Linked DNA regions of Oryctolagus cuniculus. The protein of the gene in region 1 interacts with the protein of each later gene in a pairwise test. Links are inferred from orthologs where the notes say so. Each region holds a gene or a part of one and is shown in the gene's direction. Other genes may lie near its edges.

What was found.
Region 2: the proteins of TRIM63 (region 1) and PKM interact in a two-hybrid assay, tested with the Homo sapiens proteins (3 studies listed by BioGRID and IntAct). The link is inferred for Oryctolagus cuniculus from reciprocal best matches to the Homo sapiens genes TRIM63 and PKM.
Region 3: the proteins of TRIM63 (region 1) and PDHB interact in a two-hybrid assay, tested with the Homo sapiens proteins (2 studies listed by BioGRID). The link is inferred for Oryctolagus cuniculus from reciprocal best matches to the Homo sapiens genes TRIM63 and PDHB.
Region 4: the proteins of TRIM63 (region 1) and TNNI2 interact in a two-hybrid assay, tested with the Homo sapiens proteins (2 studies listed by BioGRID and IntAct). The link is inferred for Oryctolagus cuniculus from reciprocal best matches to the Homo sapiens genes TRIM63 and TNNI2.
Region 5: the proteins of TRIM63 (region 1) and USP13 interact in a two-hybrid assay, tested with the Homo sapiens proteins (2 studies listed by BioGRID and IntAct). The link is inferred for Oryctolagus cuniculus from reciprocal best matches to the Homo sapiens genes TRIM63 and USP13.
Region 6: the proteins of TRIM63 (region 1) and UQCRC1 interact in a two-hybrid assay, tested with the Homo sapiens proteins (2 studies listed by BioGRID and IntAct). The link is inferred for Oryctolagus cuniculus from reciprocal best matches to the Homo sapiens genes TRIM63 and UQCRC1.
Region 7: the proteins of TRIM63 (region 1) and MYOZ1 interact in a two-hybrid assay, tested with the Homo sapiens proteins (2 studies listed by BioGRID and IntAct). The link is inferred for Oryctolagus cuniculus from reciprocal best matches to the Homo sapiens genes TRIM63 and MYOZ1.

What each region holds. Positions count from the first base shown.
Region 1 is NC_091438.1:145,359,947-145,364,284, forward strand, and holds the start of TRIM63 (E3 ubiquitin-protein ligase TRIM63), read left to right. Parts: upstream 1-1,455; 5' UTR 1,456-1,604; coding exon 1,605-1,763; intron 1,764-2,488; coding exon 2,489-2,661; intron 2,662-4,302; exon of another isoform or gene 4,303-4,338. UniProt on the Homo sapiens protein: E3 ubiquitin ligase. Mediates the ubiquitination and subsequent proteasomal degradation of CKM, GMEB1 and HIBADH.
Region 2 is NC_091443.1:110,893,396-110,897,047, forward strand, and holds part of PKM (pyruvate kinase PKM), read left to right. Parts: intron 1-264; coding exon 265-535; intron 536-1,370; coding exon 1,371-1,521; intron 1,522-1,600; coding exon 1,601-1,753; intron 1,754-3,601; coding exon of another isoform or gene 3,602-3,652. UniProt on the Homo sapiens protein: Catalyzes the final rate-limiting step of glycolysis by mediating the transfer of a phosphoryl group from phosphoenolpyruvate (PEP) to ADP, generating ATP.
Region 3 is NC_091441.1:91,561,182-91,563,537, forward strand, and holds the end of PDHB (pyruvate dehydrogenase E1 component subunit beta, mitochondrial), read left to right. Parts: intron 1-453; coding exon 454-595; intron 596-1,233; coding exon 1,234-1,379; 3' UTR 1,380-1,754; downstream 1,755-2,356. UniProt on the Homo sapiens protein: The pyruvate dehydrogenase complex catalyzes the overall conversion of pyruvate to acetyl-CoA and CO(2), and thereby links the glycolytic pathway to the tricarboxylic cycle.
Region 4 is NC_091432.1:1,635,588-1,639,868, reverse strand, and holds TNNI2 (troponin I, fast skeletal muscle), read left to right. Parts: upstream 1-1,494; 5' UTR 1,495-1,546; exon of another isoform or gene 1,547-1,582; intron 1,583-2,075; 5' UTR 2,076-2,097; coding exon 2,098-2,105; exon of another isoform or gene 2,106-2,112; intron 2,113-2,294; coding exon 2,295-2,301; intron 2,302-2,504; exon of another isoform or gene 2,505-2,677; coding exon 2,678-2,719; intron 2,720-2,773; exon of another isoform or gene 2,774-2,811; coding exon 2,812-2,940; intron 2,941-3,022; coding exon 3,023-3,112; intron 3,113-3,212; coding exon 3,213-3,389; intron 3,390-3,480; coding exon 3,481-3,576; 3' UTR 3,577-3,657; downstream 3,658-4,281. Other genes in the region: SYT8 (synaptotagmin-8), read left to right, coding at 1-36, 162-395. UniProt on the Homo sapiens protein: Troponin I is the inhibitory subunit of troponin, the thin filament regulatory complex which confers calcium-sensitivity to striated muscle actomyosin ATPase activity.
Region 5 is NC_091435.1:100,057,551-100,061,202, reverse strand, and holds part of USP13 (ubiquitin carboxyl-terminal hydrolase 13), read left to right. Parts: intron 1-1,641; coding exon 1,642-1,785; intron 1,786-3,652. UniProt on the Homo sapiens protein: Deubiquitinase that mediates deubiquitination of target proteins such as BECN1, MITF, SKP2 and USP10 and is involved in various processes such as autophagy, endoplasmic reticulum-associated degradation (ERAD), cell cycle progression or DNA damage response.
Region 6 is NC_091441.1:100,474,251-100,478,690, forward strand, and holds the start of UQCRC1 (cytochrome b-c1 complex subunit 1, mitochondrial), read left to right. Parts: upstream 1-1,575; 5' UTR 1,576-1,677; coding exon 1,678-1,746; intron 1,747-1,971; coding exon 1,972-2,112; intron 2,113-3,901; coding exon 3,902-3,988; intron 3,989-4,440. UniProt on the Homo sapiens protein: Component of the ubiquinol-cytochrome c oxidoreductase, a multisubunit transmembrane complex that is part of the mitochondrial electron transport chain which drives oxidative phosphorylation.
Region 7 is NC_091446.1:64,761,200-64,765,332, reverse strand, and holds the start of MYOZ1 (myozenin-1), read left to right. Parts: upstream 1-1,237; 5' UTR 1,238-1,345; intron 1,346-2,788; 5' UTR 2,789-2,806; coding exon 2,807-2,879; intron 2,880-3,401; coding exon 3,402-3,580; intron 3,581-4,133. UniProt on the Homo sapiens protein: Myozenins may serve as intracellular binding proteins involved in linking Z-disk proteins such as alpha-actinin, gamma-filamin, TCAP/telethonin, LDB3/ZASP and localizing calcineurin signaling to the sarcomere.

The sequences.
Region 1 (4,338 bases):
TAAGTAAATATTGGGGCTGGAGCTGTGGTGTAGCAGGTAAAGCCGCCACCTGCAGTGCAGTGCCGGCATCCCATATGGGTGCCGGTTCAAGTCCTGGCTGCTCCACTTCCTTTTTTTTTACTTGACAGATAGACAGTGAGAGAGCGAGACAGAGAGAAAGGTCTTCCTTCCGTTGGTTCACCCCCAAAATGGCTGCCACAGCCAGAGCTGCCCCAATCCAAAGCCAGGAGCCAGGTGCTTCTTCCTGGTTTCCCACGCGGGTGCAGGTGCCCAAGCACTTGGGCCATCCTCCACTGCCTTCCCGGGCCACAGCAGAGAGCTGGACTGGAAGAGGAGCAACCAGGACTAGAACCCGGCGCCCATGTGGGATGCCGGCGCCACAGGCGGAGGATTAACCAAGTGAGCCATGGCACCGGGCTGCTCCACTTCCTATCCAGCTCACTGCTATGACCTGGGAAAGCAGTAGAAGATGGCCCAAGTCCTTGGGACCCTGCACCCACGTGGGAGACCGGAAGGAAGCTCCTGGCTCCTGGCTTCAGATTGGCACAGCTCCGGCTGTTGCAGCCAACTGGGGAGTGAACCAGCAGATGGAAGACCTCTCTCTATGACTCTGCCTCTCTGTAACTCTGTCTTTCAAATAAAAGAAATAAATCTTTAAAAATAATAAGTAAAGCTTTTTTAAAGTGGAGTAAAATTGAAAATGTGTGCCGAGACCCAGGGGAGCCTTCCGGCCAGTGCTGAGCGTCCAGGCGGGGTTTCCATAAGAGCTGCTCCCCTCTGCTCCTTCCTGGGCTGTGCACATCCCAGGGCAGGAGACCGCTCCTCTGCCTGTCACCTTGGTCCCTGCTGCACTGAAGAATGTCTGGTGTGTGGATAAGGTTCCTGGCTTTGCTGCTAGGAAGTGTAAAGTCTTCTCTTTGCTGGGACTCATTTCAAACTCTATAGAATGAGGGGACTGGACTCAAGGGAGCCCTTTCAGCGTTAAGGGGAATAAGTGGCCAAGAGAGGGAGACAGACACCCCGGGTGGGGCCTCCCCTGTCTACATGAGACGCTGGGCTCAGGTGCGAGGCTCAGAGAGGGGCGGCCCTGTCCCTTATCTTGAGAGCTGCCCAGGACTCCAGGGGAGTGGCAGGCACTGATTTACGTTAATGAGGGGGACAGTGACTATGAACCCCTGAATCCCCGAGGTCCCCTCCCTGGATCCCATCCCTGGCCCAGCAGCCTAGCTAGGGGGACCCAGTTTCTGGAGGGAACTCTGGGTACCCATGCCCCCGCCAGGCTGCCTCCGAACAGGTTGTTCTTGTTTTCGACCCCCTATGCCCGGGGAACAGCGATTGCTCAGGCTTGCGTGTGATCTGAGAGGGCCGCGTCTCCCAGGCTTGGAAGAAACTCAAGCCCCACCGCGCACTTGGCATCGGAATGCTCAGCTGGTCCCCTCCCGGGCTCATGTGACCGAGACCCAGCTATAAATACCAGAGGGGCCCCAGTCCCGGACAGAATTCAGACGCGGGGAGAAGAAGGCCGAGAGATTCCGAGCGGGTGTTTGTGACAAAGGCACAGGTCTCCGGAGCCAGCAGGTGGAGGAGGCAGCCACCCCAACGTTATGGATTACAAGTCGGGCCTGATCCAGGATGGCAGCCCCATGGAGAACCTGGAGAAGCAGCTGATCTGTCCCATCTGCCTGGAGATGTTCACCAAGCCGGTGGTCATCCTGCCGTGTCAGCACAACCTCTGCCGCAAGTGTGCCAACGACATCTTCCAGGTCGGTGCTGGCCATGGCCGCTCCTGGGTCCCTGGGCGGCAACTCGGCGGCCCTTTGCTCTTAGCCGAAGGCCCTGCAATGCGAGCTGATTCTTTCCGCTTCCGAGTGATCCCCTGTGGAGGCCTCTGGCCTGGGCTGGGGCTGGGGCGGTGGCTCTGGCGGCCCCGCTGCCTCTCCATGACGCATGTGTCCCTCCCAGCCTGTCCACAGCTCCCCCGCCTGCCCTGGGCCCGCTGAGGACTGAGAGTCAAATGCCTCAAGTGATAAGGGGGAGGCAGGCAGAGAGGGGAGAGAAACCAGACCCCTGGGGCCCGGCCAGCGCCACAGTGGCAGGGGGCCCGGAGCTGTGGGAGGAGGGGGACGGGCAGGCACGAGGCCTAGAGGGCCCCCCCACCGAGGCTGTCCTCTTCAAGGTGGGAGCCGGAGGGGCTCTAGGGAGGTCTGGCAGGCAGGCAGGACCCAGCGGTCCCCAGGAGCACCGTCTCCAATGCCACTTCACTGCTTCACCTTTGCCCTAATTATAGCACCCATTTCTTGAGTGGGCAAACTGAGGTTTTGAGAGAGAAAGTCACTGCCCAGGGTCAGGCAGAGACGGAAGCCAGGCCTGCTGACTGCTCGGGGGCTCTCCGGGCAGGGGTCTGTTCTCACCTCAAGAGCGGGAGAGACTCAAGAGGGAAGGGGCTGAGGAGGGAGCACTGGCCTCACCTCTACCTTGGCCACCGCAGGCCGCAAATCCTTACTGGACCAACCGGAGCGGCACGGTGTCCATGTCCGGCGGCCGTTTCCGCTGCCCGTCCTGCCGCCACGAGGTGGTCATGGACCGGCACGGCGTGTACGGGCTGCAGAGGAACCTGCTGGTGGAGAACATCATTGACATCTACAAGCAAGAGTGCTCCAGGTCAGCTCGCCGGCCCCGAGACCCTGCCCCCAGAACCCGCCACTAGGGACCCCTCGGGCTGCACTGCCGGGGGAGATGGGAAGCGAGAGGGAGGGACAGGCCTGGGACCTGTGAGGTGGCCGGCTGGGCAGGGAGAGTGCCCAGTGACAACATAGCCAGGAGCTGCAGCGATGGCTACATTGTCTCCCTTGCCAGCCCTGGGGAGGCTCTGCCTGCCTCGCAGCCACCCTGTAGACCGGGAGGGACTTCTGTAATCCCCAAGAAGCCAAGTCAGTGACTCAAGGCTTCCCAGCCGAGAAGGGGGCGAGCTGGGGCTGAGCCTGGCCCATCGGGTGCTGAGTCTCCCTGTTAATAAGAGAGGCAGCATCTGTGAGTGGTGGGGCCGGCTGGAGACACAGCCGCTGCCGGGAGAGCGGTACAAATGAGGACATCCTGACACCACTCCCAGCTGCTGACCTCACAGCCTTTTTGGTCTAAAACCTCCACCAAGCACGTGGCAGCAGGCAGTGGCCTGCCCAGAGGTGCTGCCAACCATGCCCGCGGAGGAAGAGCCCTGGCCTGGGGCCTGTGATGGCCGCTCTGCCCCGTTGTTAATGCATTAAGTGGCCGAAGCGTGGCTGTGACTGTGGGCTAGGACACCGATGGGCAATGTGACACAGTCAAGTGCTCCCTGAGCACACGCTGTGCTCAGGCACTGTCCGGAGTACTTCCTGTCTCAGTCACTCTGTGAGGCATTCGCAGCTCCATTTTCCTATAAGGAAACGGAGGCTCAGAGAGGGTCGGAGATTTTCCCAAGGCCACACAGCTAGAAGAGAGAAGGTGTGACTGACTCCATGGTGAATGTGCTTTTTTCGTTTTAAAAATAATGTATTTATTTGAGAGAGAGAGAGAGAACACATTCCCATCTGCTGGTTCATGCGTGAAATGCCCAGCGGGGGCTGAGTTGGAGCTGAATCTGGGAGCCCAGAACTTAATCTGGGTCTCCTACGTGGGTGGCAGGAGCCCAATTACTTGAGTCATCAGCACAGCTTCCCGGGTCTGCATCGTAGGAGCCCGCGTCAGGAGCTGGAGCCGAGGATCCACCTGAGAACTCAGCTAGGGGGAGCAGGTGTCCCGAATGCCGGGCTCAGTGCCTGTGCCTGGTGCATATTCCTCACCGCTGGTCTAGATTGTGGCTACAGGATGCACACGGGCTGTGGGTCGCTATAAAAGTAGTCCAATCTGTATTGCATGGGAATACCAGCCCCCTCGGGGAGCACCTCCGCTGAGCGCGCTGTGTCGGAGCCCCTGAGGCCTCTCCAAGGGGAGGAGCGTCACAGCCGCTGCGCTTTCCTGGGGCTCTGCTCTGTGCTGGGCACTTCCTGTTCCCGCAGAGAGCTTCGGCAATTCTTCCTCCTGTCGGAGGAAACCAAACCCAGAGGAGCCAAGCAACTTGCTCCAACGGTCTGGACGGAAGCCAGAGGGAAGGATGGGCACCCAAGGGTCAGGGGTCACAGCTTGTCTCTGTGCACCACTGCTGGCCCCAGGGCTCCTCTCCCAGGGCCGGGAGACCCCTACCAGCATGCAGGCCCTGGGCGGCAAGATGCAAGAAGACAAGTCTGGCCAGGGGCTTCTTTAAGAACTGCGGGGGGAGGACAGAAAGCTGGGCTGTGGGCAGTCGTGCAGGCTGTTGGAGGT
Region 2 (3,652 bases), on another chromosome or scaffold:
TCAGCAGCTGAACGAGGCGCTCCACTATGGGATGTAGGCGTCCCAAGTGGCGGCCTAACCTGCACCACGGCACTCACCCAAACGAGTGAGGGAGCGCGGGCAGACAGGCTGTGGGCGGGGGTTGGGCTTGTTTGCGTGGCCCTGGTCCCCAGGTGTGCTTCCCTGGTCCTCCGCGGGGAGGGAGGCACCTGCTGATTGCTGCTCCCCTGTCCCCTGGGGGATGGGCCCTGGCAGCTCTGCATCCCCTGCTCGCTGTGCCCACAGGTCCTGACTTCCTGGTGACGGAGGTGGAGAACGGTGGCTTCTTGGGCAGCAAGAAGGGCGTGAACCTCCCCGGGGCTGCGGTGGACCTGCCTGCCGTGTCCGAGAAGGACATCCAGGATCTGAAGTTCGGCGTGGAGCAGGACGTGGACATGGTGTTTGCCTCTTTCATCCGCAAGGCGGCTGACGTCCATGAGGTCAGGAAGATCCTGGGAGAGAAAGGGAAGAACATCAAGATCATCAGCAAAATTGAGAACCACGAGGGGGTGCGCAGGTGAGTCCCCGGACGCCAGCCGGCCAGCCCGCCTCGCGCCTGCTCGCTGGGCAGCACACTGCAGCGGAAGGCTGTGCAGGCGGTCTGACGTTGCTCCGTGGCCGGAGGACCCACACCAGAGAGCAGGCCCCTGCGCACAGGACGGGGGCTGGCACCGTTTCCTGACCGGCGGCCGTGGGGAAGCGCGGGGTCGGGGTCTTGGTCTTCCCTCAGAAGGGCTGGCCTGGCGATGAGCCACTCGCCCCCAGAGGGAAGCCTGGGGGTCTTCTTCAGGTCCCCAGGCTGCCCCAGCCCAGCCTGACCACCTCCGCCGTCTCAGTGTGGCCAGCTGGCCCCTCCTAGAGCAGTAGCTCGTGAGGGGCAGGGCGGCAGCAGCCCTGGGGCCCACAGCCTGGTGTTCTGGCCGTCTCCGGCTCTGCCTGGGCATCCTTCCTACCACATGAGCTCGGCTCTCTGCCTTTGCTGTCCTGATGGGCCGGGCTGCTGGCTCGGGCCGGTGATGCGCGTGCCCTCTTGCCTCCCTGGGGCATGCCTGTGGTGTCCTTGGCTAGATGAGGCCGCCGACCTTGGGGTGGGAAGCAGCCAGCAGCGTCGGTGCCCTTCCTGGGAAATGCTGACTGGAGCACTTGAGGGCCTCACAGGGTCAGGTGGAGAGGCGGGGCGGGGCATCCCAGAAGGTGTCGAGGCCCAGGAGCCGGGAGCCTGGCCACGTGCACGCATCTGTGCTGTGTCGGGCCCTCCGAGTTAGGGGTCGTGGCCGGGGCTTCCTGTCTGTCACCATACTTGGGACCCCTGTGGAATATGACTTCTGTTTCGTCCCTGCGCCCTCTGTCAGGTTTGATGAGATCCTGGAGGCCAGCGACGGGATCATGGTGGCTCGCGGTGATCTTGGCATTGAGATTCCTGCAGAGAAGGTCTTCCTTGCCCAGAAGATGATAATTGGGCGATGCAACCGTGCTGGGAAGCCTGTCATCTGTGCCACGCAGGCATGTGGCCCTCCCTGGGGACCCCGTCCCTGTGCACCCCCAGTCCAGCAGGGTCTCACCCGTGCTCTGCCCCTCCCAGATGCTGGAGAGCATGATCAAGAAGCCCCGCCCCACCCGCGCCGAGGGCAGTGACGTGGCCAACGCGGTCCTGGATGGAGCCGACTGCATCATGCTGTCTGGAGAGACGGCCAAGGGCGACTACCCGCTGGAGGCCGTCCGCATGCAGCACCTGGTGAGTGCCCAGGGCCCCGCTTCCGCGGAGCCTCACTGCACAAGTGAGGCACGTGCTGGGCGTGGGGCGCCCCTTCTGCCCCGCCTCCCAGCTCCTGTCCGGAGGAGTCACCCCAGCTTCCGAGTCCTTCGCTTGAGTCCTGGGGTACTGCTGCCCTCAGCAGATGCCTGTCGCCCTCCTCAGAGGTCCAGGGGCTTCAGCACCTTTGGCCTGATCCGGAAGACACCAGGGCTCCTGCCCCCAGCTGCTCTGTTTGGCTGCTGACTGGACTCCCTGCGGGGCCTGTGTGCACCCAGCAAGCTGCCTGTGAGCCGGCCTTGCATGGTGCCTGCAGCGGGACCGGCTTCTGTGCTGTGGGGGTGCAGCTGCCTCACTTAGTCCAGACGACCCAGAGGGGCTTGGGAAGGTGGCCAGCCCCGGTGGTCCTCACACTGGAGTCATCTGCAGGAGTCTGGGGCTGGGCCATAGCCGCCTGACCTCTTCTGTAGGTGGGAGCCCAGGGCTGGTTGTCAAGGCCACTCGGGCTTGGTGCACCTTGAGCCCCAGTCACCTGGAGAGTGGCTCCCTGTGGTCTCTGACGCTCCTCTGTCTGTGTGCTGTGGTAAGCTCAAGCGGGAGGGTGATGACCTTGTCTGAAGCACACGGACTACAGAAAGTGTCTCTGGGCGAAGTCTCCACTCTCTCAGGACCTCGTCTGTAAGCTGGATTAGATGAGATCTACGACTGCTGGCTTTAGTTCTGATAAGTCCCTGGTACACTGATGTAATCCTGACAGCTCCCAGCATAACCAGGGCTGTGGGACAAGAACTCCCAGGACACTGACCCAAAGCCGGCCTTCTCCCTGCGGTTCCCCTGCCCAGTAGGACTTAGAACGAGGCTCTGGGTCCCAGAGTTGGTTCTGGGTTCTGAATTCTGTGCCTCTTTCCCTTAACTGGTCTTTCCCATGGACAGACAGCTTAGGGCGTTGCAGGCTCTGGGCCAGGATGTGGCTGCCCTGCAGGTGGTGCAGGCCACTAGCCGGCAGCCGCCTCTCAGTGTCCGTGCTCGGACTGATGCACTGACCCGTAACTCAGGGCTAGGCCGCACCAGGTATGGCCCTGGCTCCTGTCCCTGTCCCTGTCCCTCGGGCTGCATGCACTCATCCCATCGTTAACTCGGCGGTGCTCCCCGCGTCTGCTTCCGCTCGGAGATGAAATGAATGGGGCGGTGCTGCTGACCCTTCCTCGCCCGTTGATGACTAAGCCACTGGGAACTGCATTGTAATCTCGAACGCTTCCACTCGCTTTCTGATTCTCAGTCTCACCTGAGCTGGTGGTCTGTGGTAACTCAGCTCTCTCGCGCCTGTTTTAATCAGTAGCTGTTAATCAAGCGTCCTGTGACGTCCCCGCATGCTCCCATGGGTGTCTCTTCACATGGCTGTTCAGGGCGGCCCTCGCGAGCTGGCCTGTGCTGCCAGCTCTCCTGCGTGGCCTTGGCTGCTGACGCCTGCCTCCCAGCCCTGTTGTCTGTTCCCACGGCGGGCACTGGGGAGAGCACCCTTGTGCCTCAAGCCAAGCAGCCTCCATGTGGCACAAACACCCAGACAGCCAAGTGAGGAGGGGCCTGCTCCTTCCCGAAATCTGTGTCACGAGGCAGCGTGGTCAGGTCCAGCCTGGGCAGGTCTCCATGCCACGGCGCTAGAGCCCGCGGCCATGCTGGCTGGACCTGGACCCTCTGCCTCTGCTTGACGACCCGATTAACCCGGGGTGCCTTCCTCCCTGATTAATCCCCCGTTCTGTCTTTCCGTGTCTTGTCTTCCCTGTCTCCTCCTCCTCCTCTCTTCCTTGCCCTCTCCCCTAACCCTTACAGATAGCTCGCGAGGCTGAGGCAGCCATGTTCCACCGCAAGCTGTTCGAAGAA
Region 3 (2,356 bases), on another chromosome or scaffold:
CAGAAAGTGTCTGGAAAAGGCAGTGGAGGATGGCCCAAGTCCTTGGGCCCCTGTTCCCATGTGTGAAACTCAAAAGAAGCTCCCAGCTTCCGAAGCCAGGAGCCAGGTGCTTCTTCCTGGTCTTCCACGTGGGTGCAGGGGCCCAAACACTTGAGCCATCCTCCACTGCCCTCCCAGGCCACAGCAAAGAGCTGGACTGGAAGAGGAGCAACCAGGACTAGAACCCGGTGCTCATATGGGATGCTGGCGTTGCAGGTGGAGGATTAACCAAGTGAGCCACTGCGCCGGCCCCCCAGCACTATTTTTTAAAGATCCCTTGTATGCCTGGATTTAGCATTTTTCCACACCAAAATAAACTCATCTTTTAATTCCTCTTCTACAAACCTTTTGAAGTACCCTTGTATTTGTGATGCAGTGGCTCTATAAAGCTTATTTATTGTATTTCCTCTTTAGGTCATAAATCTGCGTACTATCAGACCAATGGACATTGAAACCATAGAAGCCAGTGTCATGAAGACAAATCATCTGGTAACAGTGGAAGGAGGCTGGCCACAGTTTGGAGTAGGAGCTGAAATTTGTGCCAGGATCATGGAAGGTATTGCAAAGAAAGTGGATCTAGAATATGGTCAAACTGTAACAAACAGTGTGTACCTGAACACGTGTTGAATAGAGAAAAAAAGCTAGGGTAGCCAAATGCCTTGAACTTTGAACTTACTGTATGGTGTTAATATTTTAAAAAACAAAACCAGGCCGGCGCCGCGGCTCAATAGGCTAATCCTCCACCTAGCGGCGCCGGCACACCGGGTTCTAGTCCCGGTCGGGGCGCCGGATTCTGTCCCGGTTGCCCCTCTTCCAGGCCAGCTCTCTGCTGTGGCCAGGGAGTGCAGTGGAGGATGGCTCAAGTGCTTGGGCCCTGCACCCCATGGGAGACCAGGAGAAGCACCTGGCTCCTGCCATCAGATCAGTGCGATGCGCCGGCTGCAGCGCGCCAGCCGTGGCGGCCATTGGAGGGTGAACCAACGGCAAAAGGAAGACCTTTCTCTCTGTCTCTCTCACTATCCACTCTGTCAAAAAAAAAAAAAAAAACAAAACAAAAAAAAAACAGAAAGTCTTTCCCAAAACAAGTATTATTTTACCTTATGCTTTTTCTTCCTGCGCAGCCATTTTTGCCAGCGTGCGAGTGCTCGGCTGCTTTTTCCTGCCCACCTCAGTTGCGTCTTCCTTCTCTCCTAGGTCCTGCATTCAATTTCCTGGATGCACCTGCTGTTCGTGTCACTGGTGCTGACGTCCCTATGCCTTATGCAAAGATTCTAGAAGACAACTCTATACCTCAGGTCAAAGACATCATATTTGCAATAAAGAAAACATTAAATATCTAATTTGGACCTGAAAATCTAGCCATTGAAATTTATTTAAAGTCCTTGCTGGTACCTGGATTGTACTGCAAGATCTCACTATTCATAAAGTAATCTCTACAGCAACATGTGTTTTTGTACTGGGAAGAAGTTTAAATATGTCTGTGTGTAGAGAATTCTCCACTGTGCTGCCCTAGACTCCTGCCTGCTTTTATCTGTTTTAGTTGCCTTGTTCTTTGAATAAACAGAAAATTTTATCCATTGTCACTAGGACTGATACAGATGTGGCAGTCTTAAAAGATATATCCAGAATATATAACTTATATGTATTAAATAAGTGTATAATCTACATTTACTGTAGGTTGTTTTGATAAGGAATAAAGAAATTCCTAACTATGACTAGTTGTGTTTTTATATGCTTGAAAAAAAAGAGTGAAGACTTAAAAGTGTATTAAGAAATTAGTGCCAAATGGAAAATAAGCTGTAACTATAAAACCACTGCCTGTTTTTATTGAGATTTTATCCAAAATAGCAAGACCAACCTCAGAATCATGGCTTGGAGCCAGTATTGTGGCACAGCAGGTTAAGTGACACTGGCGGCATCCACATCTGAACGACAGTTTGAGTCCCAGCTGCTCCAGAAGCATTTTGGTGGTACCCGCTTTTAAGTAGAAGATAGGAATGTTGGGGTGGTGGCTTGGTGCTGTGGTTGGGACATTCCACAGCATATATCAGAATGCCTGCCACCCACAGGAGAGATCCATATTGAGTTCTGGGCTCCTGGCTTCAGCCTGGCTCTGGCTCTTGCAGGTATTTGGGGAGTGAGCTAGCAGATGAAAGATCTCTGTGTGTCTCTACCTTTCAAATAAGTAAAAGTAAATGTTTTTAAAGAAGGACTGTTCGTTTTTAGGAGGGAAAATAAGAGATGAAATACACACAGGAAGGAAGGCAGCTAGCACTGTGAATCTACTGTTGCTCACCAGGGTGCCTCTGAAAGTGTG
Region 4 (4,281 bases), on another chromosome or scaffold:
GCCTTCTCCTTCCCCGTGCCGCTCAGCCAGATCCAGGTGGGCCGCATGGCAGGGGCAGGGCGGGCTGCAGCCTCGCACGGCCCGGCTGACCAGGCTCGCTCGCTGTCTCCTTTCTCTGTCTCTCTCGCTCCTCCATGGACCCGCTGCCCTGCTCCGCCCAGAGTGTAGACCTGGTGCTGGCCGTCTGGGCCCGGGGCCCGCAGGCCCGGATGGAGCCGGTGGGCAAGGTGCTGCTGAGTGCCCGGGCCTCTGGCCAGCCGCTGCAGCACTGGGCCGACATGCTGGCCCACGCCCGGCGGCCCGTGGCCCAGTGGCACCGGCTGCAGCCCGCCCGGGAGGTGGACCGGGCCCTGGGCCTACAGCCTCGCCTGCGCCTGCCCGTGCCTCACTTCTGAGCGCTGTGGGCGCTCGGCCGCTCCGCCCTGCGTGGGGACCCCCCAAATAAATGCCTTCTCTCTCTCCTTTGTGTCCTGCTTCTGCCCTGTGGGGACACGGTGGTGGGGGACACACCGCTCTGCCCTCCTCAAGGACGGGGAGGAGGTGGGGAGGGGAGGGGGCCTGGGTGGCGGCCGCGGAGGGAGGGGTGTCCCCTCTGCCTCCCGCGCGTGAGCAGCAGGGGGCAGCAGACATCTTTGCAACGTTCAGGGGCCTTTGGGGGCCCAGCCCCAGCCCGGATGTGCTCCTAATCCCCGAGCATCTGGAAAAGTTCAGCGCCCCCAAATCCTCCCTCGTCAATGTGCCGCTGATCCTGCCCCGGGGGCCAAGCACGGGGCCCCAGCAGGGCGGGGCCTGCCCGGGCAGCCAGGCAGCCTGGAGCCCCTCGGGTCACACAGAGGTTCCCGGGCGGCGGTGCCGTTCTGCCCCCGTGAAGGGGCCCGCGGGCTGGGCGGGCGCAGGCTGGGAGCCCCCCCCCCCCACCGTGCGCGCATCTCCAGGGCACCCGCTCCCCGGCGGCGGGGACACAGGCCCATGCGGCTCCCTGCCTGGGGCTGCTTGGAGGTCCGGGCCTTAGCCTGCAGGAGAAGGTGGATGTGGCCAGCGTGGGCCTTGGCCCTGCTCCAGGACACGGCAGGGGCCGGTGGGGGGTGGGCCTGGCTGCGGGAGGCTGGGGGGCCATTAGGAGCAGAGTTTCACACCGCTGGGCCAAGGCTTCGCGGGGAGCCCCGAGGCCCACGGGCAGAGCCGGCCGCTGCGGTCCCCGGCCGCCGCGGTCCCGGGCCACTGTCCTCTCGGGCTCCTTGCAAGGATCAAGAAGGCATCTCGACCCCGTCACCGAGCCCTAAATAGAACAACCCGAGTGGCTCCCCCCACACGCATACCCAAGACTTCTTGGATGGGCCAGCAGCACGCGGCCGGCGGCGGCCTGGGCTGGGCCGTGGGGAGGTCTCTGGGCTCCGTGTGCCCCCATTGGTCTAGGGAAGACGCTGTCTCCTTTCTGAGCAGGGGCCCAGCCCGGGGGAGGGCATTTATAGCCTCGCGGGGGCCCACCATCCCAACTTGCCACGGCCAGCACGACCTCGCTCCCAGTCCTGGTCCCCGACGTTAGGTGAGGCTGGGCCCGGCTTCGAGGCCCGTGGACAGGGTGCTGCCCCGTGAGCGGCCCGCAGGGCTTCCCGGGGCAGGGGGCCTGGGGCTGGGGCTGCCGAAGAGCCAGGAGAGCGGAGCAGGGGCAGCTGCCGGGGGAGATGGCGCGGACCGGGCCGGGGGCCTGCACCGGCGGCAGGGGACCAGGCCTGCACGCTCAGGACCCCCGGGAGGGCAATGGATGGGTCCCACGACCCCAGGGCCTGCGCCCGGAGCCACACCGGGGAGGGTCCTCCCGCATGCCAAAGGAGCAGAGTTAAAAATAACCAGGAGTCCGGGCAGCCACCTGCGCTGGCCCGTCCCTCCTGCGGGACAGCTGCAGCGCCTCAGGCCCTGCCCAGGGCATTCTGGGAGCCAGTCCTCGCCCCAGGGTGGGCGGGAGTCCTGAGACATCACCCCTTGGGAGTGGGAGTATGAGGCCTGTGCCCCCCAGCCCTGCCAGGCTGGTGTCGGGCGGCGCCAGGCCCTGACCCCTCTTTCTGTCCCCACAGGCTCTGAGCTCCAAACCTCAGCATGGGAGAGTAAGTGGTGCCCAGCCCGGGGTCCCCCCCACCCCGCCTTCCCCTCGCCCTGCGGGGGTCCCGGCCCCCCCAGCAACTCCCCTGCCCTCCTCAGCCACCGCCCCCTCCCCACCTGCCCTGTCATACCTGCCACCGCTCCCCCAGCCGCAACCTAACCTCTCTCTCTTCTCCCCTCTTCCTCCTGCGCAGTGAAGAGGTGAGTACCTTAGGGACCAGAAGTGTGGGGGCTCCGCGCCCCTGTCACCCTCGGGGCCGCTCAGGGGTCAGGGCTGCAGGGCCCTGGAGGCCCAGAGGAGACGCCCAGCACACACACACCCCGCCCCAGCCCCCCCACCCCCAGATGCTGATGAAAGAGGAAGTGGCTGCTGGGGGCCTCGTGGGGCGAGGGAAGTGCAGACGGGGCCTCCTCACTTCTTCTTTCTGACCTCTGCACCCGGCCTCCCCCTCCCCCAGCCCGGTCCATCCAGCCCAATGGCACCCACCATGCAGCCCCGTGCCCCTGGAGCAGGGCCCCGGGCGGGAAGGGTGTGGGGTCCCCCGGGCCCGGCCCTGACCCCCGTTCTCCCCTGCAGAAACGCAACAGGGCCATCACGGCCCGGCGGCAGCACCTGAAGGTAGGAGGGGGTCCTGGGAGGGGGTGGGGCGGCCCGCGGGGGGTCTCTGCGCAGGACGCAGGCTCACCGCCCCCCTCCCCGCGCCCCTGCAGAGCGTGATGCTGCAGATCGCGGCCACCGAGCTGGAGAAGGAGGAGGGCCGCCGCGAGGCCGAGAAGCAGAACTACCTGGCGGAGCACTGCCCGCCCCTGAGCCTCCCTGGCTCCATGGCCGAGGTGCAGGTAGGGACCCCCGCGCGGCGGCCCGATGGGCGGGGCTCCCGCGGGGGCCGGCCGCCCACCCACGCGCGCCGCCCGCCCCCAGGAGCTGTGCAAGCAGCTGCACGCCAAGATCGACGCGGCCGAGGAGGAGAAGTATGACATGGAGATCAAGGTGCAGAAGAGCAGCAAGGAGGTGAGGGCCGGGGAGGGGGCGGGAGGGGCGCGGGGGCCGGGCCGGGCGGGGCGCAGCCGCCCACCTGCGCCCACCCACGCCCGCCCACGCCCGCCCGCAGCTGGAGGACATGAACCAGAAGCTGTTCGACCTGCGGGGCAAGTTCAAGAGGCCCCCGCTGCGGCGTGTGCGCATGTCGGCTGACGCCATGCTCAAGGCCCTGCTGGGCTCCAAGCACAAGGTGTGCATGGACCTGCGGGCCAACCTGAAGCAGGTGAAGAAGGAGGACACGGAGAAGGTGAGCGCCGCGCGGGCGGGCGGGCGGGGCGGGGCGGGCGCTGGTCCAGCCCTCTCCCACCGCACCTGCCTGCCTGCCCACCTGCCCCCAGGAGCGGGACCTGCGCGACGTGGGCGACTGGAGGAAGAACATCGAGGAGAAGTCGGGCATGGAGGGCCGCAAGAAGATGTTCGAGTCCGAGTCCTAGGCCGCCCACGCCGGGGCTGGGGAGGGGGCTCCGGGGGTCCCCCCGCCTCCTCGCAGTGCTCAATAAAGGAGTCCCGCCCCCATGTCTGCTCTGGTCAGCTTCTGCCCCAGCCCACCCCCGCTCGTCTGCAGCCTCCCTCCCCACCTCGCGGGACCCTGCAGAGTGGGGGCTGCTTCCGGGGGTGGGGCATGGTCCCAGGCTCCCCGTGGACGCCCCCAACAACACCACAGGGCCGGGGAGAGGGCACGGGTGTCTGAGCAGGGGTCCCCGCGTGAACCCCTCCGGCCCTTCAGGGGTCATCCGAAGAAGGCCCTGCACTGGCCCGCAGAGACCCCGCCCCTGTGGGAGTCCAGGTGGTGCCCTGGGCAGCCCCGGCCGCCTTGTTCTGGGGGCCCCGTGTTCCTGAGTAGGGGGCCGAGGGGCTGCCCAGTGCCTGCAGCCAGGACTCTCATCTGGGGCCCTCCCCACCACGCACGAGGGCGTGGAGACCTGGGCCGTCTCAGGGCGTGGCCTTGGAGTTGGGCCGGGGTGGGGCGCTCTCGACCTCTGACCTCAGGTGCTCCCACGCCTGAGACTGGCGGCCATGCCAGGGTGGCTGCACGGCTGAGCACACTCCTGTCTCATCGCACTCGGCCAGGGCCCCAGGCCCCTGCTTGCCGTCCAGCGCGGTCCCCACGGGAACTGCCCCGGCCCCTCTGTGCGATC
Region 5 (3,652 bases), on another chromosome or scaffold:
TAGGATGTATCTTTCTACAAGAGGGAACTTGGGTAAATGCATTTCAGTATAATTTTTGTAGAACAGATATCTCTATTCCTTAATTCTACTGATTTCCAAGAAATTGGGAGAATTTTCAGTAGAGACCTTAGGACATGGAAAATATAAAGGTTATATTTTGTGTTCCTGCTTTTTGTCCTTTTTAGGTATAGTTTAAGAGCACTGTATATGTATAGTTGTACACATCTACATGTACATATATATAGTCACTGAACATATATTTACACACATATGTATACACATAGCTCTATCAAAATCTATATGATATCAGGAAAAGAAAATGAAATCCTCCATGTTTGGCTCAAGTTGGGTTTGTAAAGCTATCTCAGTTATGTCTTAAGTATATAGAATTTTTTAAAAGAGGCCGGCGCCGTGGCTCAATAGGCTAATCCTCCACCTTGCGGCGCCGGCACACCGGGTTCTAGTCCCGGTCAGGGCGCCGGATTCTGTCCCGGTTGCCCCTCTTCCAGGCCAGCTCTCTGCTATGGCCAGGGAGTGCAGTGGAGGATGGCCCAGGTGCTTGGGCCCTGCACCCCATGGGAGACCAGGAAAAGCACCTGGATCCTGGCTCCTGCCATCGGATCAGCGCGGTGCGCCGGCTGCAGCGGCGGCCATTGGAGGGTGAACCAACGGCAAAGGAAGACCTTTCTCTCTGTCTCTCTCTCTCACTGTCCACTCTGCCTGTCAAAAAAAAAAAAAAAAAAAAAAAAAAGAATTTTTTAAAAGATTTATTTATTTATTTAAAAGTCAGAGTTACACAGAGAGAGGAGAAGCAGAGAGAGAGAGAGAGAGAGAGAAAGAAAGAGAGCGATCTTCCATCTGATGGTTCACTCCCCAAATGGCCACAATGGCCAGAGCTGCGCCGATCCAAAGCCAGGAGCCAGGAGCTTCTTCAGTGTCTCCCACGTGGGTGCAGGGGCCCAAGGACTTGGGCCATCTTCTACTGCTTTCCCAGGCCATAGCAGAGAGCTGGACTGGAAGTGGAGCAGCTGGGTCTCGAACCAGCGCCCATATGGAATGCTGGAGCTTCAGGCCAGGGCGTTAACCTGCTGTGCCACAGCACCGGCCCCAGTGTATAGAATTTTAAAAGGTGTTTTTTCCCTTCTATACTTAACATTTGGGCTGTACATTTCCAAGAACTGATTGCTCTCCTGTGATTGCTGGATGTATTTAAAGGCCTTGCTGCAGCTTCCTGTGAAATTTAAGGAACAGCTTTTTGGCCTGTAGACAATGCTTTTCTCTTCAAATTTCCATCTCAGGCGAGGCTACTTGTAGAGGTTTTGAGAATGACCTGAGGCTGAAATGATTCTGGATATACAGTATATCTCCCCCTAGGACCTTGGAGAATTGTTTTTCAGTGCTTGTATTGTGCAGGTAATCCCCAGGATTCCTGTTTCTAGCAAGGATATAAACTCAGCTCAAATGGCTTAACATTTAAAATGGCTCAAAACAAAACAAACTAAAACCATTATTTGTACTTCCAACATAATAGCACCTTCTTTGGGTGGCAGGTGGATAAGGGGTGGGGGTGAAGAGCAGCTAAGGCAAGAAGAGACATAGAGTTTACTTTTTTACACCAGAATATCCTGTTGTGCTCTGTAGCATCAGACATCGATGAGTCGTCGGTGATGCAGCTGGCCGAGATGGGCTTCCCTCTAGAAGCGTGTCGGAAGGCTGTGTACTTCACTGGAAATATGGGAGCCGAGGTGGCCTTCAACTGGATCATTGTTCACATGGAAGAGCCGGGTAGGTGGGGACAATGGAATGCTTTGGGGTCTGAGGTGACCTCAAGGATTTAAGCCTTGGCCCTTTCATGTCTCTTATGGAAGTGTCACCAGAAAATGACTTTTCAGCTCAAATTGTGCTGTAGTAGCAAAGTTACAATCTCTGTCTTTTTTTTTTTTTATTGAGATATAATTAATCTTTCAAGTATATTTTCCAGTGAATTAAAGACCATTAGAAATACGTGGGATATATTGCCAGTTAAGAGATGATGAGGATCTAAAATAGAAATGTGTGTGTGTATGGAGAAATGGAGATGGTTTAGTTAGCTTTTTCTTTTTTTTTTTTTTTTTTTTTAAGATTTGATTTATTTATTTGAGAGGTAGAGTTATGGACGGAGAGAGGGAGAGACAGAGAGAAAGATCTTCCATCCGCTGGTTCACTCCCCAAATGGCCACAATGACTGGAGCTGGGCCGATCTGAAGCTGGGAGCCAGGAGCTTCTTTGGGGTCTCCCATGTCGGTGCAGGGGCCCAAGGACTTGGGCCATCTTCTACTGCTTTCCCAGGCCATAAGCAGAGAGCTGGATCAGAAGAGGAGCAGCCGGGGCGTGAACTGGCAACCATATGGGATGCTGGCGCCACAGACAGAAGGCTTAGCCTACTATGCTATAGGGCCAACCCTGTTAGCTTTTTCTTTTGTTCACTTCATTGAAAAATATCTCATTTACAGTACCATACAAGTCAGCTATATTTTTAAGGGTATATATCAGTGGTTTTAGCAAATTCACTGCATTGTGCAACCATCATCACTGTCTAGTTTAACATTTTTGTCCACCCAGATGAAATCCTGTACCCATCAGCAGTCAATCCGCAATGTCCCGCTCTCCATAGCCCCTGACAACTACTAATTTCCTAATTGAATTTGTGGATTTGCCTATTTTAGACATCTCATGTAAATGGAATTATACAACATAAGATTTTTTATGTCTGGTTTCTGTCACTTAGGGTCATGCTTTCAAGGCTCATGTGTGTTATGGCATAAATCAGTTCTCCATTCCTTTTCATGGCTGAATAATATTCCATTGTGTGGATGTACTATATTTTATTCATCCTTTCATCAGTTGATGGACATTTGGGATGTTTTTGCTTTTATGAATAATGCTGCTATAAATATTTCCATACAAACTTTTGTGTGGACTTATATTTTCATTTCTCTTGTGTTGAATTGTTATACCCTATGTTAACTCCATGTTTAACTTCCAGAGGAACTGCCAAACTGTTTTGTTTTAGTTTTTCCAAAGATTTACTTGAAAGGCAGAATGACAGAGAGGGAGACAGAGAGAAAGAGAGAGAGAGAGAGACAGAGAAATCTTCCATTCTTTGGTTCACTCCCCTCATGGTCTGGGCCAGGCTGAATCCAGGAGCCAGGAACTGTATATGGTCCCCCATATAGTTGGCATGGGCCCAAGTCATGGGGGCATCCTGCACTGGCTTTCCAAGCATATTAGCTGGATTGGAAGTGGAGCAGCCAGGACTTGAACCAGCACTCTGAGATGGGATGCCAGCATCAGTCAGCAGCTTAACTCACTGCACCACAGTGTTGACCTCCTGCCAAACTGTTTTTACAGAGTCAGTGAGCCATGTTGCATTCTGGCCAGTAGTGAATGAGAGTTTCAACTTTTCCCCTTCCTCACTGACTCTTATTATCATCTTTTTTATTTATCCTTTCCAGTGGGTGTGAAGTGATATCTCATGGGGCCTTGATTTGCGTTTTTCCAATGCCTAATGATGTTGAATGTCTTTTCATATGTTTATTGACCATTTGTGTATCTTCCTTAGAAAAACATCCATTTAGATTCTTTGCCCATTTTTAATGAGGTTATTTATCTT
Region 6 (4,440 bases), on another chromosome or scaffold:
TCTGCTGTGGCCGGGGAAGGCAGTGGAGGATGGCCCAGGTCCTTGGGCCCTGCACCTGCATGGGAGACCAGGAGGAAGCACCTGGCTCCTGGCTTCGGATGGGCGCAGTGCGCTGGCTGCAACACGCCGGCAGTAGCGGCCACTTGGGGGGGGGGTGAACCAACGGAAAAAGGAAGACCTTTCTATCTCTCTCTCTCTCTCTTACTGTCTAACTCTGCCTGTAAAAAAAAAAAAAAAAAACTGGGGCCGGCGCCACGGCTCACTAGGCTAATCCTCCGCCTAGCGGCGCCGGCACACCGGGTTCTAGTCCCGGTCGGGGCACCGGATTCTGTCCCGGTTGCCCCTCTTCCAGGCCAGCCCTCTGCTGTGGCCAGGGAGTGCAGTGGAGGATGGCCCAAGTGCTTGGGCCCTGCACCCCATGGGAGACCAGGAAAAGCACCTGGCTCCTGCCATCAGATCAGCGCGGTGCGCCGGCCGCAGCGCGCTGGCCGCGGTGGCCATTAGAGGGTGAACCAACAGCAAAGGAAGACCTTTCTCTCTGTCTCTCTCTCTCACTGTCCACTCTGCCTGTCCAAAAAAAAAAAAAAAACCTGATAAAACTCGAATAAACTATAGACTTTAAAAATATGCACCTTGGGCCAGCATTGTGATATAGCTGGGTAAAGCCACTGCCTATGATGCCAGCATCTAATATTGGACCAGTCCATGTCCCAGCTGCTCCACTTCCAATCCAGCTCCCAGCTAATTGCCTTGGAAAAGCAGCAGATGACCCAAGTGCTTGGGTCCCTGCCACCCATGTGGGAGACCCCAGTGAAGTTCTTGGCTCCTGGCTTTAGCTTGGCCCAGCCTTGGCCATTTGGGGGAATGAACCAGAATATGGAAGATCTCTCTCTCTCTCTCTCTCTCTCTGCCTCTCCTTCTCTCTGTAACCCTTTCAAATAAATAAATAACTTAAAAAATAAAAATAATGTGCCAATGTTGACTCATTAATCATAACAAACGTAGCGTGGTAACGTAAGATGTTCATAACAAGGGAAACTGCTGTGTGTGTGTGTGTGTGTGTGTGCATAGGAGAACTCTGTGTGATCTGTTAGCTTTTCTGTAAATACAAATCTGTATTTGTGTTGTGGCATAGTGGGTCAAGCTGCCCTGCTGTCCCACACTGAAATGCCCAAGTCCTGCCTCTGCTTTCAGTCCGGCATTCCGGCTCATGGGCACCCCGGAGGGCAGCAGAAGCCGGCTCAGGTACGTGGGACTTTGCCACCCACGTGGGAGACTTGGAAGAAGCTCCTGGCTCCCGGCTCCAGCCTGGCCCAGCCGTGGCTGCTGGGGCCATTTGTGGAGTGAACCAGCGGATGGAAGGTCTCCAAGCCCGCAGGGGACGCCCTAGGTGGCGGGAAGCACCGGACGCTCTGCCTCCCACGCGTGAACGCGAGCGATGGGCAGGACCGCGGGCTCCTCTGCGCTGGAAGATGGGCAGCCAGGGAATTTCCCAGGAACCTGCGCGCAAGCCGACGGACCCAGCGACCGCTCCCGGTGGAGGGCGCCCGCCGCGCCGGCTTCCACCAGGGGGCGGCCGAGCGCCGAGTCCGAGGTGCTGCGCCTGCGCCTTGGACGCGCCCCCGGCGTCCACTATGCGCATGCGCAGCGCAGCTGCTCACTGACGGGAACTAGAAGATGGCGGCGTCCGTGGTTTGCCGGGCGGCAGGCGCCGGGGCCCAAGCGCTGCTGCGCACAGGCCGCTCGGTGAGGCAGAGGCGAGAGCGCGGGGTTGCGGAGTTCTGGGCTTGGGGACGCGGACGGGGAATGGGCTGTTAGCGGTGGCAGGTGGAGGTGGGGAGTAGGCGGGGTCAGGGCGGTGGGAAGGTCACGGCCGAGGGCAGGGGTGCCTGCTTCGCTGGGGCTTCCGTGGGGTCGAGCTGGAGAGAGCCCCTCGAGCCAGCCCTCGTTCTTTGCCCTCCCTTCTTGCAGCCAGCCCTGTTGAGAGCGCCTGCCTTGCGCGGAACCGCAACCTTCGCGCAGGCCCTCCAGAGCGTGCCCGAGACGCAGGTGAGCCTGCTGGACAACGGGCTGCGCGTGGCCTCGGAGCAGTCTTCGCAGCCGACCTGCACGGTGAGTGCGGGGGCGCCTCCGGGTTGGACCCGCCGTCTCTACCGTGGTCGAGGCGTGACCTTGGGCACACGCCCTCTGGTTGTGGCGTGGCTCGCTCGCTGTAGCCTGTCCCCCTCCCCGACCCCACCGTGGTCGACACCGTTCCGCACACGGTGTCTGCCGAGCAGGAGGCCAGGTTCTTTGCCAGCTGATGGCTAAGCGGCCGAGTGATAGAAGTCGCGGCTCCATCTTGGCTGCGGAAGGTGGAATTCAGAGGCCGTGGGTGCCTTGCAGGGGGCCGCGGTTGTCAGCTTCCCAGCCCCGCGTCCTGATCGCCAGGCTAGGCCAGGCACGCACTTGCAGAGAAAATGCACTTGAGGATGACAGTGAGACGAGTGCGCGATTTTCCAAAACAAAGCACAGCAAATCCTTGGAATTGATCGAAGCATAGAAGTCTTTTTTTTTTTTTTTTTTTTTTGACAGGCAGAGTGGACAGTGAGAGAGAGAGACAGAGAGAAAGGTCTTCCTTTTGCTGTTGGTTCATCCTCCAATGGCCGCCACGGCCGGCGCGCTGTGGCCGGCATCCCGCGCTGATCCAATGGCAGGAGCCAAGCGCTTCTCCTGCTTCTCCTGGTCTCCCATGGGGTGCAGGGCCCTCCACTGCACTCCCGGGCCACAGCAGAGAGCTGGCCTGGAAGAGGGGCAACCGGGACAGAATCCGGTGCCCCGACCAGGACTAGAACCCGGTGTGCCGGCGCCGCAAGGCGGAGGATTAGCCTAGTGAGCCGCGGCGCCGGGCGAAGCATAGAAGTCTTGACCAGCCGTGTGACTACTAAGTGGGACGAGCCCCAGCCAGGAAGCCTGCCCTCTCCCCTCCTTCGTGCCCCTGCCCCAGCTCCGGGACCTAATGCTTTCACTGGCGGATTCTGTCGGTTTTCCGGGAACGGACTGTGTCCTGGGATGTAAGGAGAAGGTGGGGGCCGCTTCCTCGTCGTGGGGCGCCTGTGTGAGCCGACCCAGGCCCTGTGAGGAAGGCTCTAGGCAGTGCCGGCTCTCACGGGCTCTGATGCCCTGTTTGGTAAGGAGCACCACCGTGCCCCGCCAACTCCAGAGAAATGCTGGTGACTATACCGAAAGGGTCCTCTGGATTGTAAATGCATCTTGCATGTGAAACACATGTCCATCTGTGACTTTATGACACGCGGCGTGGACAGCAACATCTCTTAGCAAAGTACAGTGAAAAAATTAAGTCAGCCATGGGCAAAGCATTAATGAGATGATGAGAGCGCTGTGGCCTGGTGGGGTGTCTGGTGTGTGTCCCAGCATACCAGCAGACTTAAGAAAGTTAAGATTGTCTCATTGGGTGCCAAGGAGACATTTGGGCGTGATGGGTGTCCAGGTCTGATCAGGAAGTTTTTCAGTGTTGTTGGAAGGCTGCTGTGCTTAGTAACACATACAGTGCCGTCACTGGAGCGAAGGTAGGATATGCTATATAGAAGAGAGGGAATAGTTACTGCTGTTTGCAGATGGTATACTCTGAAAACTCAGAATCAGCTGGACAGTTTGTTGCGGGGGTGGGACCAGGTAAACGTGAGCAGTTAGAAACATCCCAGGGTGTTGTTGATCTCCACCTGGGAAATGGGGCAGTGTCACTGTCCGGGGCCCTGTGCCATGGGCACTGCTTACCTCCAGGCACAGGGCTCTGGGCAGGACAGCTCTCCCTGCCCGGGGCCTATGCTCAGTCACTCAGGGTGGCGGATGGCTGGGGGCCGGGGTGGTTTGTCACCTTTGTTGGTGGCTTCTTGTCCAGGTGGGCGTGTGGATTGATGTTGGCAGCCGGTACGAGACTGAGAAGAACAATGGGGCAGGCTACTTCGTGGAGCATCTGGCTTTCAAGGTGAGGCGCTCCAGGTCTGTGTCTTCCCTGGGCTCAGGCCTCCCTGTTGTCCCTCCTGAGGGGAGGTCAGCAAACTTAGGCTCCTGACTACTCCAGTCTCTGCTTTGCCCTCGGAGGAGCCTCTCTGTGAGTCCCTGCACGAGGTCCCTGGAGCACAGGAGCCCCACTTTGCACTAAGGCCAGGGCTGTGCTATGTGAAAGCAGGTGGACTTTGGGAAACACAGGGAGCTGCACACCTGCATGGGAGCAAACCCGCACATGGGCATGCACACCTGCTTACGGCAGAGTGTCTGCACCTGCTGGCTGTAGAGGCACTTTTTTTTTTTTTTTTTTTTTAATTTATTTGACAGGCAGAGTTATAGACACAGAGAGAGCGACAGAGAGAAAGGTCCTCCTTCCGTTGGTTCACACCCCAAATGGCTGCTACGGCTGGCACTGTGCCAATCTGAAGC
Region 7 (4,133 bases), on another chromosome or scaffold:
TGCACTTACTGAGCAAGGGGTTAGGCAAATGATAGACTTCTCCCAAGGGGACTTTCAACACTGTGCTCCTACCTAGAGGTTCCTTTCAAACAGTGTGAATGGGATGGCCCAGATCCCATTTGAAGAAAATCTCAAGTAGGAACCTCAGAGAGCCTAAATGTGCTTTTATTATATCTATCCTGCATATGCATAGCAGGCTGAACTGAGTACTCCAACAGCAAATGACTGTTAAAGAAAGATCAGTGGGGCCAGCGCTGTACATAGCAGTTAAAGCCACCGCTTCAAGTGCTGGCATCCCATATGGGTGCCGGTTTGTGTCCTGGCTTCTCCACTTCCAATCTAGTTCTCTGCTATGGCCTGAGAAAGCAGTGGAAGATGGCCCAAGCCCTTGGGCCCCTTGGGCTCCTGCACCCATGTGGGAGACCCAGAGGAGGCTCCTGGTTTCGGATCTGCCCAGCTCTGGCAACTGCAGCCATTTGGGGAGCAAACTAGCAGATGGAAGACCTCTCTCTGTCTCTGCCTCTCTGTAATTCTGCCTTTCAAATAAATAAATAAATCTTTTAAATAAATAAATAAATAAATAAATAAAGGAAGATCTGCATGTTCACTTGTTCTTAAACCTGCCAGAGTTTAAGAGGAAAGAAAGAAATAAAGTAAAGCAGACAAGAATTACTGGACAAGTCTTCCCCACATCACCCCTGGCTGCGTAGAAAGCACCGAGTTTGGTTAATTTTGTCTCTGATCCTGCCAAGATCCAATCTCACAGAGAAAGACCAAGCAATCCAGGAACTTTAAAAGAGCGGTTCTGTTGTGAAGACTCCTTATCAGACATAGTGCCTTAAACCCTCCCATTCCCCAGTACACCCACAGGTCCCTCTGGCTCAGACCTGGATTGGCTCCCAGTGGCCATCAGAGCATGTTCTCTAGGTTCTGTCTCTCTTGCACTCTGAATTCCTATCCGCCACTTGCTGCCTGCTTCCTCTCTCCCTCTTAGTCTTCAGTTTCTCCCGGAAGGTGTTTTTGGATCTCAGACTCCAGGGCAAAGAGAAAGGGAGTCCCTGGACAGTCTGAACCCTGGCTCAGACAGCTCTAGGGGAGAATCCCAAAGGCCTTTCCTCCTTTCCTGAGCCTCTGGGCAGGGAGGGCAGGATCCTGGTTCCAGGGTCTCAGTGCCCCCTGTGCCATTTGAGCTGCCTGCACTCATCATCTCTATTAATAAACACCCTCCCTCCCCCACTGCCAGTGCTGCCCCCACGCCTGCCCAGCTCATGTTCTCCGGTCACAGCAGCTCAGTCCTCCAAAGCTGCTGGACCCCAGGGAGAGCTGACCACCGCCTGAGCAACTGGTAAGTCTCCAGGTCTCCAGCTACAGGGTCTGGAGCCCACTCTGTTGACTTCCGTTTCTTTATGCAATTATGATTCTTGATCTGGGGGGTGTGGCCTCCCTTCTTTATTACCCTTGGCTCCCAGCTGTCCAGGTCTGGGGAGCCACAGAGTGTTGGAAGGAGAACGGCCAAGGAGGTTGGGGGAAATGGAGATGTTGCGGGAGGCACTAGAGGAATGGGAAGCAGATATGAGGCCCCACTACGCCAGCAGAGTTGCAGATGTGTTTGTGAGACAGGATTCAGAAGAAGACCACATTTCACCAAGTGCCAATTTTTAGTTAGATAAGTTGGAGTCTATCTTATCTCAACTTGTTCCTCTCCATTGCCAGATGCTGTTACCATGTTCCTGTCTCCCCTCAGTTCCCACTGCCATGATATTGCTGAATTGACATGTGTCAGGGTTCAAATGTCTTCTGGCTTCTCCCTCCACTGCAGCTCTGGGGTCCGGGGTGGGGGTGGGGGGTTGTGACTGAAGGGACAAGCTGCATAGCCATGACCTCCCAGGCCATGTTCCAGCTGGCCCAGTGGTAGAACAACAACCTCTCCTTCTTATGGAGAATGTTTTTGGCTGAATCTCATCAACCCTGGCAGAACATTTCTCTAACCTCCAGGGGCTTGGGGTAAGAATGAGGAGAGACCAGAGCCTGGATTCATCGTCCTAGTCTGTTATCCCATTGCAAATGAAAACTTCAAGTCATGCCAAGCCAATGAATCCTGGGTGCATTGCCCTGCCTGCTTTCCTGTTGTTTTTTAAATATTCACACCCTTAGTTTTGTTCCTATTCCCTGCATCAGCTCTATGGTAAACAGCACACTGGAGGTTGGTAGAAAATAAAGACAAGGGGTGCATCTATACTTCCTGCCCTCCTTCCCAAGAAAAGAGAAACCCCAAAGCAGTGGATTTTCACCTTTGGGGCATAGATGACTTCTTTGAAAATCTGATGAAATTTTGTCCCCTGAAGCCCTTAGCCTCAGGTAAAGAAGTACTTCCCGGGGCTGGTGCTGTGGTGTAGTAGGTTAAGCCTCCACCTGTAGTGCCATCATCCCGTATGGGAACCCATTCGTGTCCTGGCTGCTCCTCTTCTGATTCAGCTCTCTGCTTATGACTTGGAAAAGCAATAGAAGATAACCCAGGTGCTTGGGCCCCTGCACTAGTATGAGAGACCTGGAGGAAGCTCCTGGCTCCTGGCTTCAGATCAGCTCAACTCTGGCCATTGGGGCCATTTGGAGACTGAACCAGTGGATGGAAGACCTCTCTTTCCATCTTTCTTCTGTCCGTCTGTAATTCTACCTCTAAAATAAGTAAATAAAATCTAAAAAAAAAAAAAAAAAGTACTGCCATACTGCAGACACTTGGTTTTGTCAGTCTCCGTCCATCCTCCAACTATTTTTCCCTTCCACCCAGATCGAGTCCACCTCCACAATGCCGCTCTCAGGAACCCCTGCCCCTAACAAGAAGAGGAAATCCAGCAAGCTGATCATGGAACTCACTGGAGGTAGGGGACATTTGCATGTACCCAGTGTGGGACTTCTTATTTAGAGTATCTTTGCCCCAAGGGTCCCAGAAATATAAAGTTATATAGGTTTGAGGGTGAACAGACAGGAGGAACTCCAGTTGGGATGGGAGAAGGAAAATTCTGTATTGACAGCTGCCTACTCTACCAAGGTCTGGCCCCTGGACTTTTCCCCATGCCCTAGTTTCTCCAATGGTCTCTTTCTAGGATGCTCCTTTACCTCTTTACACTGCACCCCAAACCCATGCCCCTTTGACCTCAAACACCCTTTCACTCTAGTATCCCCACTCTCTTCAGTCTCATGCATGCTCTCCAATTCTGAACCCAGGAAGTCAAAATGTCCCATAAACTAGAGAGTTTGGTCTGGCATCACAGAGAGCAGCTGCTCCCCTAAATGATCTCTGCAGGACAAACACACTCAGTTGTGGATAAAGTCTGCCTTCTGAGGTCAGAAAACCCCACCTTACTCTTTCCCTTGCTTCTTCCTCCCTACCTCTCTGAAAGGTGGACAAGAGAGCTCAGGCCTGAATCTGGGTAAGAAGATCAGTGTCCCACGGGATGTAATGTTGGAGGAGCTGTCGCTGCTCACCAACCGGGGCTCCAAGATGTTCAAACTGCGGCAGATGCGAGTGGAGAAATTCATCTATGAGAACCATCCTGATGTTTTCTCTGACAGCTCAATGGTGCGTTTGGAACTTCACCACTCTTTCAAAGCCTAATGCCTTTTCTGACAGTTTCTTGGCAGGCTCTGAACCTCCAAAATACCATCAACCTCCGCTCCCTGAGAATTTATAAGCTCATTAACCCCCCAGATATATTAAGCCCCCAACAGCTACAGGGTGTTACAGCCCATCTCTGAAACTGAAGTCTCCATCTGAAAGTCAGTGAAGGGGTGGGGAGTACCACACCCTCAGGGAGAAAATTCCTTCCCAGTATGGGTAAGTGTTAAAGATAGGGTTGCCAGATGAAACACAAAACACCCAGCCTTGTATTTTGAAGTAAAAATAAACAATGAATAATTTTTTAGTAAAATATGCCTTGTGCAAATTTTGGACATAAAAATCAAATTTAAATTTAAGATTAAAATACAGGCTGCCCAGTTAAATTTGAGCTTCAAATTTATGCAAACAGTACTTTTTTACATATGTATGTCCCATGCAATATTTAGGGCATATTTATACTAAAAACAAATACACAGTATTTGTTGTGTATCTGAAATTCAAATTTAAGTGATGT